2 linked regions of the Caenorhabditis elegans genome follow. The protein of the gene in region 1 purifies or fractionates together with the protein of each later gene. This does not show direct contact. Each region holds a gene or a part of one and is shown in the gene's direction. Other genes may lie near its edges.

The links.
Region 2: the proteins of eif-2gamma (region 1) and eif-2alpha fractionate together in Caenorhabditis elegans (co-fractionation; one large-scale study listed by BioGRID). This does not show direct contact.

Annotation. Positions count from the first base shown.
Region 1 is NC_003279.8:2,310,123-2,317,440, forward strand, and holds eif-2gamma (protein-synthesizing GTPase), read left to right. Parts: upstream 1-3,148; 5' UTR 3,149-3,188; coding exon 3,189-3,198; intron 3,199-3,252; coding exon 3,253-3,341; intron 3,342-3,385; coding exon 3,386-3,591; intron 3,592-3,648; coding exon 3,649-4,039; intron 4,040-4,873; coding exon 4,874-5,482; intron 5,483-5,533; coding exon 5,534-5,638; 3' UTR 5,639-5,870; downstream 5,871-7,318. Other genes in the region: 5-cytosine rRNA methyltransferase nsun-4, read left to right, coding at 1-125, 732-934, 977-1,052, 1,720-1,923; tbca-1 (Tubulin-specific chaperone A), read left to right, coding at 2,388-2,576, 2,628-2,774; ekl-7 (PEHE domain-containing protein), read left to right, coding at 6,187-6,267, 6,318-6,465, 6,525-7,047, 7,093-7,221, 7,270-7,318.
Region 2 is NC_003279.8:2,069,873-2,079,143, forward strand, and holds eif-2alpha (Eukaryotic translation initiation factor 2 subunit 1), read left to right. Parts: upstream 1-2,807; 5' UTR 2,808-2,816; coding exon 2,817-2,934; intron 2,935-3,546; coding exon 3,547-4,094; intron 4,095-4,833; exon of another isoform or gene 4,834-4,834; coding exon 4,835-5,083; intron 5,084-6,114; coding exon 6,115-6,228; 3' UTR 6,229-7,053; downstream 7,054-9,271. Other genes in the region: rpl-27A (Large ribosomal subunit protein uL15), read right to left, coding at 180-335, 568-732; phb-1 (Mitochondrial prohibitin complex protein 1), read left to right, coding at 1,481-1,882, 1,952-2,068, 2,118-2,426; pcyt-2.1 (ethanolamine-phosphate cytidylyltransferase), read left to right, coding at 9,096-9,154.

The DNA of each region.
Region 1 (7,318 bases):
GTGGAAAAAGTCTTCTAGCGGCTCTGTCGAATTTGCCTTCGAAAATCGTTTGTAATGATTTCAAATTGGCCAGGCTTGGGCAGCTGAAGCGTGCGCTTATGACATATGTGCCAGAGGATAGCGAGGTGCAATATCAGTTTTTGTAAAAAAAACAAAAAAGTCAAATTTTTCTGAAAAAAAAATTGATTTTTTGACAAATTTGGAGAAATTGCCGATTTTTTTCGCAAAAAAATTCTTTAAAATTCGGAATTTTTTTAAAATTTAAAATCCGAAAATTCACCAAAAAATGGCTCAAAAATTTCCAAAATTTTCGAATATTTGCTTAAATTACTAGAATTTTCTCGAAATTTCACTTAACTTTTTTCCATAGTTTGAAATCTTCTTTAAAAAAACCAACATTTGAAATTTTCACTCGATTTTCTAGAATTTACTTGAAAAAATGACGATTTTCGTTAAAAACACCTGAAAATTCATTCAGAAATGTGAATTTTTCTCAAGATTTAAATTTCGAATTTTTCCAATTTAAACACCTCAAAAATTGGGTTTTCAGTGAGAAAATTGAATTAAATACGAATTATTTCAACTTTTTTCTGCTCTTTTGAGGAAAATCAGAAAATAAAACAATTTTTTGAAATTAGAGTTTTTTTTTTCGATTAAAAAATGTCGAAAATTCTTTTTTTTAAATATAAATCCCTCCAAAATTAGCTAAAACTCCAAAAATTTTCCTGCAGACAATCGACAAATTCGTCCTAAAACGCAAGGACGCGTCCGACGTCAAAACTTGGGATGAATTCGAGGCCTACGATAAAGTGCTCGTCGATGTTCCGTGCTCGACGGATCGTCTATCAGTCAGCACCGACGACGGAAACCTTTTCAGCACAGGATCCACTCAGCAGAGGCTTGATCTTCCGGTTCTTCAGACCAAGATTCTTGTGTAAGGATCCTCGGCTTTCCCTCAAATTATTTTTCCTTTCAGAAATGCACTGCGATCTGTAAAAGTTGGTGGCTCGGTTGTCTACTCGACGTGCACACTCTCACCAAGCCAAAACGAGGTTTTCGCTCGAACCTGGTCTTGGCACGACAAATTTTTTTGTTAAATAGGAAAATATATGCGCCTTTAAGGAGTACTGTAGTTCCAAATTTTTTGTTGCATCGATTTTTGAAAAACTCCTTGAAAAATGATGACAAATATAGTTTTTTCTCGATTTGTAAAAAATTCGAAAATTGATGAAAAATCGATGAAAATTTTACAAAAAACGTGAAAAACTCAATTTTTCAAAACAATATTCGGCTATTTTCCAATTTTAGTTTAAAAAAAATCGCATTCTGCATTTTTTTTTGCGCTCCCTGCCGTGTTTGCGTATTTTCACCGCTACAGTACCCCGAAATGCTCAAATTTTGCTCTGATAGTTTCACAAAAGTTTAAAATGTGAAGAAATCGTTTCTTTTAACACTATAAATCTCGAATTTTCACTAAACAGTTGAGAAAATCAAATCAAAATTTCAAATTTTGACGATTTCCGTTTAAAAATTTGATTCTGGCTTCAACTCTCGCCCGATCCCAACATTTTCCCTCAAAAAAAATCCCGAAATTCTGCATGCATTTTTTCGTAGGATCCGGTGATTGCGTACTTTCGCGGCTACAGTACTTCTGGCGTGTCGAGACCGGGGTTTTTTGTCGAAATAACAGCTCAAAAATGCTAATTCAAATTTCTTCAGGCAGTCGTCGAGAACGCTGTAGCCGTCGTACGCAATGACTTTGGAATCGTGACCGTCGAGGAATCCCTACATCAACTCGTATCCCATATGACGTCATCAGGCCTCTATCGTTTCCATGACACTCCACTGGGAGCCCTCGTCGTGCCGTTTCTACCCTCTAACTTTGGACCAATGTATATTTGCAAACTGACCAGATTGCAATAGATTTTTAATATTTGATGAATTTTTTTAAATTTCTAGATTTTGCTATTTTTTGTTTGTTTTTTTTAAATCTGAATTTTTAAATTTATGTCTTGTTTTAAAATTTTATTATTTATGCAGTACCCCCATGGGTGCATCTGCCGTTCCATCAGTACCTAATTTCAAATTCATAGAATTTTTCATTGATCCTTCTTGTTCGTTCTCTATGTATGTATTGCGAAATCATTTGAACAGTCGATTTTTTGGCGGGAACCTGTGTCGCCCAACAGACAGCGGTCAATTTGTATTTATTTCGAAATCGCCGAGCGTGTCTGACCATCTGCTCGCTTTCCCGTCCTTTTTCGGCTCATTGAGCACAACATTTTCGGTGGTATTGCGCCTTTTTCTATCGATTTTTAGTCCATAAAAGCAAGCTCACAATCTCGTTCTCTGTTTCAAAAATTCACATTGCAGAACCTCCCGCCGCCATGTCGACCCAAGCCGATCAGCTGAAAGCGCTCCGAATCAAGACGGGAACCGTGCAACGTCTCGTCAAAGAAGTCGCCTATTACGAGAAGCAAGTTGTGAAGGAGGAGCAGAAGGCTGCCCAACTCGCCGCCGACGCCACCAACGAGGACGAGGAGTATGTTGCCAAGAAGTCGAAGGATATTGTTAAGGTTTTTTGAAATAATCCGATTTACGAGTATACGAAATTAAAATATTTTCAGGAAACTGCCAACATGGTCCGCGATTCTCAATCACGTCTCCAAAAAGCTGTGGCCGACCTCCGTGAATCGATTGCTTCTGGGAATTATCCGGAGGAAGCCGCAGAATTCGTCAATGCGAAGACGCTTGTGGACTCCATTTCTGCTTAATTTATGATACTCTTTTGTTATTTTGGGATTTTCGGTGATTTATGATGAATAATTATTGCATTTTACTTGAATACATGGTTTATAATGCCGTATAAATAATTTTAAGAAGCAATTTCGCTAATATTTCCATACGAAAAATATACAGATGTCCGTTAATTCAACGATTTTTGCCTGGTTCGCGCTAAAAAGCAAAACATAAAATTCGAGCTCGTAAATCGACACACGAAATCGCATCGAGACCCTTCCAACCACTCCCATGCGCCTTTAACCCATTTCTAATTTTATCCAATTTTAGCCTGTTTTCTATGCAATCTTTATGGATTTTCAATTAATTTTGAGTAATTTCGATTAATTATAATGATAATTTTTTAAAGATCAATAATCGACTCAACTGGGATCATAAAAACAAAAAATATGGCTTCTGGTAAGTGTTAGCTTTTCGGTTTCAAGAAAATTTCATAATTCTTTCTTAATTTAGAAGCTGAAAAGGACAAGTGCCAGAGCTGGCTTGCGAAACAAGATTTGGACAAAGTCGGAGTCGATAATTTGAACCCACTCACCGAGGAGGTACTGAAAATCAATAATTTTTGAGTTAAAGAGTTATTTTTCAGGTTATCTCTCGACAAGCCACGATTAATATCGGAACTATTGGCCACGTAGCCCATGGAAAATCCACTCTGGTGAAAGCGTTCTCCGGTGTGCATACTGTCAAGTTCAAAAGAGAGTTGGAAAGAAATATTACTATCAAACTTGGATACGCTAATGCAAAGATCTACAGATGTTCTAACCAAGAGTGCCCAAGGCCAGGATGTTACAGGTTATAATATCTCCCTGAAATTTAATTTAAATAAATAATTTTTGAATTCTAATTCAGATCCGCCGGTTCATCAACACCCGATCGGTTCCCATGCGAGCGCGCCGGATGCGGTGGAGAATTCACCTGTGTTCGCCACGTCTCATTCGTCGATTGCCCAGGTCACGACATTCTTATGGCCACCATGTTGAACGGAGCCGCTGTCATGGACGCCGCGTTCTTGCTCGTCGCCGGAAACGAACCATGCCCACAGCCACAAACATCTGAACATCTCGCCGCCGTCGAGATTATGCAGCTGAATCATTTGATGATTCTTCAGAACAAGGTCGATATTATCAAGGAGTCGCAAGCCCGCGAAAATTACGAGCAAATCGCCGGATTTGTGCAAGGAACGGTCGCCGAGAATGCTCCAGTCATCCCGATTTCTGCGCAGCTTAAATATAATGTTGATGTAAGGATCTGAATCTGGATTTAAATATACCACGCTCTCCTCAAGTGTTCATAATTATTAGAGCGCGCTCGCGCGGCACCACACGAACTCCAGAATTCGCGGGAATTCGTTTCGCGGGGACAGCAGTTTTTGGCTATATTCGGCTTCTATGGAAATTATTTTTAATTTTTTTGATTTATAATATTGTTGAGAAGCACCATCCGAATTGAAAATGTGTAAAATTATGAAATCTGACCGAAAACTGAAGTTTTTACAGAGAGGAGTCACCACGGCTTTCTTTAAAATGTATCAGTACCGTCAGTTTTTCGAATTCAGAGTCGTAAAATATGTCATTTTGTAAGTCTGTTTCACGAAAATCCATGTTTGAAATTTTAATTTTTTAATTTCTAATATAAAAATATTCAAAAAATCAACAATTTTACGTTAGAATCTAATTTTTTCAAATTTTCAGTTTTTCATAAGAACAATTTTAAAATTTCAAACATGGATTTTTGTGAAACAGACTTTTCTCTACAAAATAACATATTCTACGACTCTGAAATCGAAAAACTGACTGTACTGATACATTTTAAAGAAAGCCGTGGTGACTCCTCTCTGTAAAACCTTCAGTTTTCGGTCAGATTTCATAATTTTACACATTTTCAATTCGGATGGTGCTTCTCAACAATATTATTAAACAAAAAATTAAAAATAATTTCCATAGAAGCCAAAAACAGCCGCCTAAAACTGCTGTCCCCGCGAATTCTGGAGTTCGTGAGGGGCCGCGCGAGCGCGCTCTAATAATTATGAACGCTTGAGGAGAGCGTGTATACTAGATTAATTGCGATTTTTCAGCTCGTTTGCGAGTATCTTTGCAAGAAAATCCCCGTGCCAGTCCGTGACTTCAAGTCGCCGGCTCGTCTCATCATTATCCGATCATTCGATGTTAACAAGCCAGGATCTGAAGTTGAAAACTTGAAGGGAGGAGTCGCCGGAGGAACATTGACCAAGGGAATTCTGCGCGTCGGACAAGAAATCGAAGTTCGCCCGGGAATCGTCTCAAAAACCGCGACCGGTCAACTCCAATGCCGTCCGATCTTCTCCCGTATCGACTCTCTGTTTGCCGAAAAGAACCAGCTGGAATACGCCGTTCCCGGCGGTCTCATCGGTGTTGGAACGAAGATCGACCCGACACTCTGCCGTGGAGATCGACTCGTCGGTCACATCCTCGGAGCCGTTGGCACTCTTCCAGATATCTTCATCGAAATTGAAATCTCCTTCTATCTTCTGAGAAGATTGCTCGGAGTTCGTACTGAAGGAAAGAAGAAGGGAGCCAAGGTGCAGAAGCTTGTCAAGGAAGAGACTTTGCTGGTGAACATTGGATCGTTGTCAACGGGAGGAAGAGTTACTGCTGTGAAGGGAGACGCCGCGAAGATCAGATTAAACGATCCTATTTGCACAGAGGTAATTCCCACTTTTTATAAAATAATAAATTTAATTTGTATTTAAATTCAGGTTGGAGAGAAGATTGCCATGTCACGTCGTTTCGAGAAGAGTTGGCGCCTGATTGGCTGGGGAACCATTCGCAAAGGTCAAACCGTTGAGCCGTACAAGAACTAGCGGCTATCATCGATTTGTTGTCTACACCGGTTTTGACATATTATTAATCTTTTCCAATTGTTTCTCTCCGTTTTTGTCTCTCTATTAGTCCAAAAAATTTTGTCGGATCCCTGTTTTGGTTCTTTTTTCTGTCCTCCTCCTGTTTCCTACTATTCCACTTCCAGTTTCATTGATTATTTTTCTTTTTGTTGAAAGTGTGCTTGGTGTTTTTTCGATAAATTATTGGATTTGAGTAAAATCTGGAAATACATTTTATAATTGCAGCAAAGATTCAGGTTTTGAAAAACAAAACGAAAAGTGCAGGCTACAGTAACCCACCTTAAAGGGAGGTTTCATTCCTTGCGCAGATGGTCTCGCCGCGATGAGACTTTTGTAGAATGTTTACGGTGTTGTAGGCCGCTAGAAAATTTTCGAATTTCATCTGAATTTCTCTTTATTTTCTCCAATTTTCTCAAATTTTTGTTCGAAAATCTGAATAAAATGTATAAAACTTTTATTTTAACGCCTCGATCGGATAAAACATACACTCTAAATGATAAATTTCAGCGATGCCGGCCCCGAAATTCATCGAAGGTCCGAACACTGTTCAAACGTCACTTTACGGCTATGACAGGAGCAAGAAAGTGCAGGTAATACTCTGAATTGTGCGATTTTTTCCACCCACTAAAACATAACCTAGTTCCAGCTGAACAATTTACGCGGGAAACCAATTATGGTGCTCCGTTCTGATACGGTCATTCCAAAAAACGAAGAAGCACCTCCACCACGAAGCACCTTCGCCAAGAAGTGGGTCGATCGCAGTCGTCATATTCCGACAATTCCACTATGTAGGCGACAATTCCATGTCCTTAACATTTCCCAAAGAAAATACAATTTTAAATTGCAGACAAATCCACGTGCAGATCCTACTCGCACTTTCATCATCAGTACACATGTCCGAAACCTTCGTCGGAATCTGCGTTCCCGTTTCCCATCTCGCCTACTCAAATTGATCTCCCATTCGGGCATACTGCACACGACAGGAAACCATCATGCCTACCAACTCCACGTGGCTCTCCAAACAGTCCGAGATTGACGCCGGAAGACGAGATGACTGTGAAACGATTGTTTGACAAGCTGGAGATCCCTACGACGCCGGCAACATCATCCGCCAGCTCGTCCTACGTTTCGCACAAAACACTTCTAGAGCTCAATTCGAAGGTCTCCAAAACATCAGCCATCGATGTATCCGTTCCACCAGTGACCGAGAGTTCCGAGGCGGACTCAGTCCGAATTGATTTATCGTTTCTCGTCGATACACCGAAAAGCTTGTCGGATTCACGAAGATCCTCGTGCTCGGACACCTCGCCGCCCGATCTCGAGGAGATTGCATCAAGCTGTGATGAGGTGGAGAAGCCGCCGGGTCACACGTATGTAAAAAATGTTCATAAATTTTAAAAAATTTTTTATTTCAGATGCCAAGATGAAGCTCAATGCAACATTTTCCGCAAAGGTGAATGTATTGATGAGAAGAAGGAGCGACAGAACATGATCCAATGGTTCAACGATCTTGTCCAATGGCGTCATGATATTATAGCCAAAAAGTTGGATTCTAGTCGTATTAATAATCTTAAATAACTCGTTTTTTCCAGACGCTTCGGTCCACCACGTTGTCCTCCACCTCCATTGACAGTCACAATG
Region 2 (9,271 bases), 240 kb from region 1:
TCATGAAAGATAATTGTCTCGAACCCAGAGGATGACATTTGTCGAAATTCAAGACAAACACCGAAGGAGATCCGAAAGCCGTTAGGCGCTACTTTGTCTCTCGTAACATACACAACCACATTCACCAGTGGAAGCGCCAAGACGAGAGAAATTCTTGTTTGACTTGTTTCAAAACACACCTTGAAGTATCCAAGCTTGGTGCAGTCAATGACTGGGGATTTGCCTCCGGTGGCCTTGTCGCGAACCTCCTGTGGGACAAGAGACCACAAACGCTCGACGTTGACGGTTGGGCAGTAGTGTTGGTTCTTGTTGAGATGGAACACTCTCATTCCAACCTGAAAATTAAAGTTTGAGTGTCAGATAATAAAGAACATATTAGATTTAATTGTCTCGAACCCAGAGGATGACATTTGTCGAGATGCAAGACAAACACCGAAGGAGATCCGAAAGCCAAAAGGCACTACTATCTCTCCTATAACATACACAGCCATATTCACCAATGGAAGCGCCAAGATAGGAGCGGATAATTTCCAACGAACTTTTAAAAAAGTACCTTAAAAATAATACCTTTCCGAAGTATCCAGGATGGTACTTGTCACGGTTGATACGGTGGTGATGTTGACCTCCGGCGTTACCGCGACCTCCAGGATGCTTCCTGTGCTTTCCAATACGTCCGTGTCCGTGCGAGACGTGACCACGGAGCTTTCTTGTCTTTCTCAACGCGTGAGCCATACCCTGTAAAGTAAACAATTTGAATGTGTAAAAGCGGCAAATTTCGATCGAAAATGGAGAAGAAAAATCAGAGAAAAATATTCAATGAAAGGTTCCCGATATTCTCGGATAAAATTACTACAAAAATACAAATTTTGTCTTTAAAGATAATTAAAATCGACCAGATCACACACTTTTTTCATTAAAACCTAGCGAAAAACCATTGAGAACAAAAAGAAATCCTAAAATATTCGCAAAAATTCAGTGAGTGTGTCTCCCAAAATCTGAGGTACGGTCACACTCGTTTGATGCGCATTTCGTGGCGAGACCCTCTCGATGAAATGCAGCCTCCCTTTAAACTCTTTTATTTTTTGCGCAACTTATTTCATCATTTAAATCGATTTTTTAAGCTAAAAAAGCAGAAAAGTTAGTTAAAATTTAATTAAATAATTTTGCAAATAAATAAGTTATTGATATTTTGTACTTTTTGATTCAGGCTCACTGTTATTATCGATTTATTCGTGGAGAAAGTCGAAAAATACTTTGTGTTGCATTATTTATAACATTCCGTAATTATTTTTGAAGTATTTTTTGTTTTCTAATTTTACTCGACTAAACTCACTTTTTCAATTTAGATTTCCTGACACCATTTAATTCATCCATCTAATTTCGTGATAATTAGGATTATTATCAATTTTGCATCATAGCTCGTTCATTTCTCTTTCTATTTCCCATTTTTTGTCCAAGTTATTAACTTCCATTTACCAGAATGGCTGCATCTGCACAGAAGCTTTTGGGTCGCTTGGGAACTGTCGGAGTGGGCCTTTCCATCGCTGGAGGAATCGCACAAACTGCTCTTTACAATGTTGATGGAGGTCAACGAGCAGTCATCTTCGACCGATTCAGTGGAGTGAAAAACGAGGTCGTCGGAGAAGGAACTCATTTCTTAATTCCATGGGTACAAAAACCAATCATTTTTGATATCCGGTCAACGCCGAGAGCCGTCACCACCATCACTGGAAGTAAAGACTTGCAAAACGTCAACATTACTCTCCGTATCCTTCACAGACCAAGCCCCGATCGTCTTCCAAACATCTACCTGAACATTGGTTTGGACTACGCAGAAAGAGTCCTTCCTTCCATTACAAATGAAGTTTTGAAGGCTGTTGTGGTGAGAAAAAATTTTAATTTAAATATTGCGAACTGATTTTGATTTAAAATTTGTTAAAATTAATTCCAGGCGCAATTCGATGCTCATGAGATGATCACCCAGCGTGAGGTTGTCTCCCAACGGGCGTCCGTGGCTCTTCGTGAACGTGCTGCACAGTTCGGACTTCTCCTTGATGATATTGCAATTGTAAGTTCACCAGATTTATGAAGTTTAAGCTATTTCCATGATTTTTCAGACCCACTTGAACTTTGGACGTGAATTCACTGAAGCCGTCGAAATGAAGCAAGTCGCACAGCAAGAAGCCGAAAAAGCGAGATACCTTGTCGAGAAGGCTGAACAAATGAAGATCGCCGCCGTTACCACCGCCGAAGGAGATGCTCAAGCCGCAAAGCTTCTTGCCAAGGCCTTTGCCTCTGCCGGAGACGGACTTGTCGAGCTCAGAAAGATTGAGGCCGCCGAAGAGATCGCCGAGCGTATGGCCAAGAACAAGAATGTCACCTATCTTCCAGGAAACCAACAAACCCTTCTCAACCTTCAATCCTAAATATCTCCGGTTACGTGTTTTAGACGAATTCCACTCATTTTCCCCTTTTCAAAGAGCCTTTTTCACTCTGTTGAACTTTCGAGAATAATCATGCCCGAATTCTCAATTAAATACTTTTTAAATTTCGTTTTTTTTGTTCTGTTTAGAGTAGGTCATTTCCTTCATTCATTTTGTGTAGGTATCGTAGCTTTTTCATTTTTTTTGCTTGTTTTTGTTGGAAATTTTCGTCTAATGAATAATTTGTTCGCGATATAATGAATTTGAAATTGGGAATTTATTAATTTTCAATGGTTGATTTCCCAAAATCATTATTTATAATTTTCTTATTTCTTTTCAATTTTCTTTTTTTTTAATGCTAAACTTTTCTTCTTCTCATTTCAGATGGCGTTAATGAAATGCCGTTTCTACGAGAATCAATTCCCCGATGTCGAGGAGACCGTTGTCGCCAATGTTAAAATGATTGCCGATATGGGTGCCTACGTCCGGCTTTCCGAGTACAATGATAAAGGTTTTTAAAATCATCATTTTAAAACAAAAATCGAATTAAAAGAGGACTAACGGTTCGGACGATTTTGAACGTATAGACCCAAAATGAGCTCAAATGAACGAATTTCGTAATGAAACTGCTCAAAAATGTTTCAAAAAATTTTTATGGCGGTTCAAAATTTTGAAAAATTACAATGATTTTAGCTAAAATCACGAATTTTCCCCTTTTTTCCGTGTCAAATCCTTCCTAAGTTAGCTTTTTTGGAATTATCGTCTTTTATTACATATATTGGTAGTTTATCTCATTTAATTTCGTTGATTTTTGGTTACCTATCGGCTTTAAATATACTTTAATCGGTAAAATTAAATGAGATAAACTACCAATATATGTAATAAAAGACGATGATTCCAAAAAAGCTAACTTAGGAAGGATTTGGCACGGAAAAAAGGGAAAAATTCGTGATTTTAGCTAAAATCAGTGCAATTTTTCAAAATTTTGAACCGCCATAAAAAAATTTTTGAAACATTTTTGAGCAGTTTCATTACGAAATTCGTTCGTTTGAGCTCATTTTGAGTCTATACGTTCAAAATCGTCCGAACCGTTCGTCCTCCTTTAAATTAAATCATTTTTCAGAGGGTATGATCCTGCTCTCCGAGCTCTCCCGTCGTCGTATCCGTTCAGTGAACAAGCTAATCCGTGTCGGCCGAAGTGAAAGCGTCGTCGTGATCCGTGTCGACAAGGACAAAGGTTACATTGATCTGTCGAAGCGTCGTGTCTACCAGAAAGACTTGAAACAGTGCGACGAGCGATTCGCGAACGCCAAAATGGTGAACAGCATTTTGAGACACGTGGCCGAGCAAGTCGGATACACTACCGACGAAGAGTTGGAGGATTTGTACCAAAAGACCGCGTGGCACTTTGATCGCAAAGAGAAACGGAAAGCAGCTTCATATGACGCATTCAAGAAGGCGATCACCGAACCGACGATCTTGGATGAGTGTGATATTAGTGCAGATATTAAGGAGAAACTCTTGGAGGACATTAGGAAGAAGCTCACCCCTCAGGCGGTTAAAATTCGCGCTGATATTGAAGTCTCCTGCTTCGATTATGATGGTATTGATGCTGTGAAGGCTGCACTTATTGCTGGAAAGAACTGCTCAAATGGAACCTTCCCGATTAAGGTTTCATTTTATAGATTTTACACATGGGCGCGCTTTTTTCTCGCTTTTTGCGTTTTTTGTTTAAAATTTCACGATGTCGCTCGATTTTGTCCGTTTTTTCGAAGAAAAAAACCAAGTTTTCATAGTACAGTTTTTACCCGAAAAATTCTCCGGTTAATTTCTTTTAATATTGTGAATTATTGTCATTTTTCAATGTCTTCTTTTATAACTTGTTGTATATTTATATGAAGAGAAAGCGAGTTTTATAATATTTTTCAGAAAGAGAGTTTTCAGCTATTTTTTAAACACAGTTTTTACCCGAAAAAATGCTTTTTTGTCTCTCTTTCTGAAAATACGATAAAACTCGCTTTCTCTTCATTTAAATATACAAATTATCAAGAAGGACATTTTAAAAATGACAATAATTCACAATATTAAGATAAATTAACAGGGGAATTTCAAATAATGTGCAAGATTTGGGTGATTTTTTTTCGGTTAAAAAATGTGAAAACTTGGTTATTTTTCATTTAAAAAATAGCTGAACACTTCTTTATTCGAAAAAAAAACGGCCAAAATCGATCGAAATCATGAAATTTTGGACAAAAAAAACGAAAAAAAAGGAAAATTACCGCACCCAAAAAGCGAGAAAAAAGCGCGCCGCAGGGTTGCGGCCGGAATCCCCGCCTCCAATAAACCACGCCCATGTGCGCAGTGCGAAATTGTTTTTTTTTAAATATTTAAAAAATAATTGTCTAATTCAGATCAATCTCATCGCCGCTCCCCACTTCGTCGTCACCACACAAACATTGGACAGAGAAGGTGGAATTGAGGCCGTCAACAGCATTCTGGATACTATCAAAAATGCGATTGAAGGATTCAAGGGAAAATTCACGATCAAGGAGGAGGCGAGAATTGTGACGGATATTGATGATGAGAAGAAGAAGGGTGATGGAGATGAGGATGAGGAGGAATCAGAGGAAGACGAGGACGAGGAAGAGGATGAGGATGATGTGAGTTTTGGAGTTTTTAAGACGATTTCAAGCATTTTTTCGTGATGATTTTATAATACATGAATTGGCAAGTAGAGCTTACACGTGATACTAATAATTGATAAATACATCAATTTCTGTTTTTACTGTACTGGCACAATAGCTCTCGTAAATCGACACAAAAGTAATTAAGTCACTCCGCGGAAAAAAGAAATTTGAATAACTCGATTCTTGTTTTGAATGTGGTTAACGGTTTTTTTTTAAAATCAAATTCAAAATCAGAATCATCCAAATTCCATTTTTCCGCGGAGTGATTTAATTACTTTTGTGTCGATTTACGAGAGCTATTGTGCCGGAATTTCAGTGCAGTAAAAACAGAAATTGATGTTTTATCAATGATTCGCATCACGTGTAAGCTCTACTTGCCAATTCGTGTAAAATTATCACGAAAAACTTTTTAGACCAAAAATGGCCAAAAACTACCAAATTTCGTAATGAGACGCTCTGAAAATCTCTCAAAAAAAAGTTATGGCCGCTCAAAGTTTTGGAAAAATGTTATATTTTTAGCTAAAATCTCAAATTTTGGCAACTTCTCGATGTCGCAGCGGTTGGAACTTAATTTTTATTTGATTGTCGTTTTTTAATGCATGTTTTGGCATTTTATCTCGTGTTGTTTCGTTAATTGAGATGCTTTTTCGGTCGATGCGGGCTCAAACTTTTATCGTATTTGTGCCCGCATCGACCATAAAGAATCTCAGTCAACGAAAAAACACGAAATAAAATGCCAAAACATGCATTAAAAAACGACAATCAAATAAAAATTAAGTTCCAACCGCTGCGACATCGAGAAGTTGCCAAAATTTGAGATTTTAGCTGAAAATATAACATGTTTCCAAAACTTTGAGCGGCCATAACTTTTTTTTGAAAAATTTTCAGAACGTCTCATTACGGAATTTGGTAGTTTTGGATCATTTTGGGTCTAAAAAACAAAGCCTCAAATTTCGGTACTCCACCTTGAAAGCTAGAAAAACGAAAAAAAATTTTTCTTTCAGGATGGACTCATGGCTCCAAAGGGTTTGGATCAACAAGTCGACGCGGAAGAAGCCAGCAGAGATAACCGAAAGAAGGCCGGCGACGATGAAGACAGTGATGAGGAGGATGATTAATTATTTGAAAATTGAAAATTGAAAATTCCCATTGTTTTTTTTTTGCTTTTATTGGTGTAATTGGCTCCGATTCTTTCTGGACTATTATTATAGTATTATTCAATTTTGGCACTATCATTTCTCTTCATCTGTTCTGTTGTTTTGTTCCTTTCCCCCTTTAAATGTGGAGTACCGATATTTTAGACTTTGCTTTTTTAGACCTAAAATGACCCAAAACTACCGAATTTTGTAATGAGACGTTCTGAAAATTTTTTACAAAAAAAAGTTATGGCGGTTCAAAGTTTCGGAAAAAATACCCCTTTTCAGCTAAAATCGAAATTTTGCCAACTTCTCGGTGTCTCAGTGTTTCGAACTTAATTTTTATTTAATTATCACTTTTTAAACAATATTTTGGTCTTTTATTAGACGTTGATTAGTTGATTTTTCGATCATTGGGGCACAAAAATGTAACTTTTATTTGTCCCCCACTGGTCGAAAATGTGCTTACATTAACGAATAAATGTCTAATAAAAGACCAAAATATTGTTTAAAAAGTGATAATTAAATAAAACTTAAGTTCCAGACTCTACGACACCGAGAAGTTGGCAAAAATTTCGATTTTAGCTGAAAATGGGCTATTTTTCCCAGAACTTTGAACCGCCATAACCTTTTTTTGAGAAATTTTCAAAACGCCTCATTAGGTAGTTTTCGGTAGTATTTTGGGTCTAAAAATGCAAAATCTCAGGTTTCGATACTCCACCTTTGACCTTCTATTTATTGTCTCCCATCCCCCGTTTTTTTTCCATTTTTGTGGGCTCCCAATTCGTTATGAACAGTGAGCTGGTTTTTCATCGCAGGCTTCTTTTTCCAGCAGTTACGAAGCAGACGTTCTGTGTTCAATACTTGACCATTCTCCCCCCGCCAGAAATGATCGATAAGAGGTGGTCCTCGGAGACCCGCGCGCGTGCGCATAGGTCACCTGATCACGTGGTGAAGGGCAACTGCCATTGTTTCAACGCCGGAATATTTTTTGAACCTTTATTGATTATCTCAAGTTTCTTATCAAATTTTCGAAAATTTGCCTTTCTTTTGTGTAAGGGGAAAATGGAAAAATTACGATTTTTGTTTCCATCGGAAACAAACAAAATGTGTTTTGTGGTGTGACCAAACGTCATTTTGTGTTGTTTTCTTGAAGTTTCTAGACGCGAAAAATAGAAAAATAATTAAAACTTTCTATAAAATTACCAACTTTCAGATTTCGGAAGGATTTTATTAAAAAAATTGGCAACATTTTTGATTTTCAATGAAATTTTTTTAAGGTGGAGTGCGCCCAGTGGGAAAATTGCTTCACAATGGCCGAATATCATGATTAAAAAATTCAAAAAAAATTTCTAAATTTTATATGATTTTTTGAAAATTGAAAAATCTCAGTTTTCCCCTAATTTCTATTTGAATTACCGCCAATTGGGTTCGTTCGATGGAGCGCGCTTGCACTATTTATTTTATTTTTCTCATTATTTCACTGATTTTCTTCATTATTTGTGTATTTTTATCGGAAAAAGAGAGAAAAATGCAAGGTAAATGCTTATAAGATTTATTAAAAAGTAACTGAAAATGAGTAAAACTGTGGAATATGCTATTTTCAGGATTTTTGGCGTCGAAACACAGTTTTACCCATTTTCAGTAATTTTTTAATGACCAATTTGCATTTTTCTCTATTTTTCCGATTAAAAACCCCCAAAAAACGAATAAAATCAGTGAAATAATGAGAAAAATAAAATAAATAAATAAAAATAATGCAAGTGCGCTCCATCGAACAATTTCAATTGGCGGTAATTCAAATAGGAATTAGGCAAAAACTGAGATTTTTCAATTTTCAAAAAAAAATCATATAAAATCTAGAAAATTTTTTGAATTTTTTTATCGTGATATTCGGTCATTGTGACCCTATGGGCATGTTTTAAAGCAATTTCCCCACTAGGCTTACTGAGTAGAAAAATCCCGGAAGTGCAATTTTTGAATTTTTTGTGAGAAACTCCTCCACAATTCGTCATTGAAAATGAAAAAACTCGACTAAATATTTTTTCCATGACAGGCGGTCTGCTCCGGGTTCGACGTCCTTTTCGAACTGATAACGTCACAATTTTTTTCTTTTTTTTTCCGCATTTTTTCATTCCGATTGCTATTTAATCGGGTGATGTCGGGGTCACTCTTCAATGTCCGTTGACTACATTGTTTTAATTTATTTTTAATTGACTCCAAATTTTCCCCTGATTTCGAATATCTATGTGAAAAAATTCAAAAAAATTTCCCTGATTTTATATTTAAGCTTGAAATCGCTTGTACTAGCATCACTTTTTTTCAAATTCGCGCCCAAAGAAATTCGCATTGGAGCGCGCTTTGATTTTCTTCATTTAAATATTTTATTTATTTTTCGCCGAATGCAGTTTTTTGAAAACCAGTTTCATTCATTTTTGTCGAGCTTTTATCGATTTTTTTCGACAAAAATGAATAAAACTGGTTTAAACTGAATTCGGCGGAAAATAAATAAAATATTTAAATGAAGAAAATCAAAGCGCGCTCCAATGCGAATTTGTTTGGGCGCGAATTTTAAAAAAAGTGATGCGGGGGACAAATGAAATTCTACGATTTCAAGCTAAAATATAATATCAGGGAATTTTTTTTGAATTTTTTCACATAGATATTCGGAATTAGGGGAAAATTTGGAGTAATATAAAAAATATTTCACAGATTTCGGTACTCAACCTTTAAAATTTTAAGTGAGAAAATATTATTAACGTGATTTTAAATTTTTTTTTCTTCTGCAACAATTTGAACTTTGATCTTAAATTAAAAAAAAAAATTATTTTTAAAATTTCAGTTCAAAAATGAGCGGATTAGCACCAGATGGACTGCCCAAAGGAAATCGAGTTTGGGCTGATGGATGGTTGGTTTTTGGCTGGAATCGACACGTGGTGTCAAAGTGTCTCTTTTCGGTTTGATCTACAAAAAATGTGGGATTTTTTTTCCAAAAAAATGTGACGTCAGCACGTTCTTAACCAAT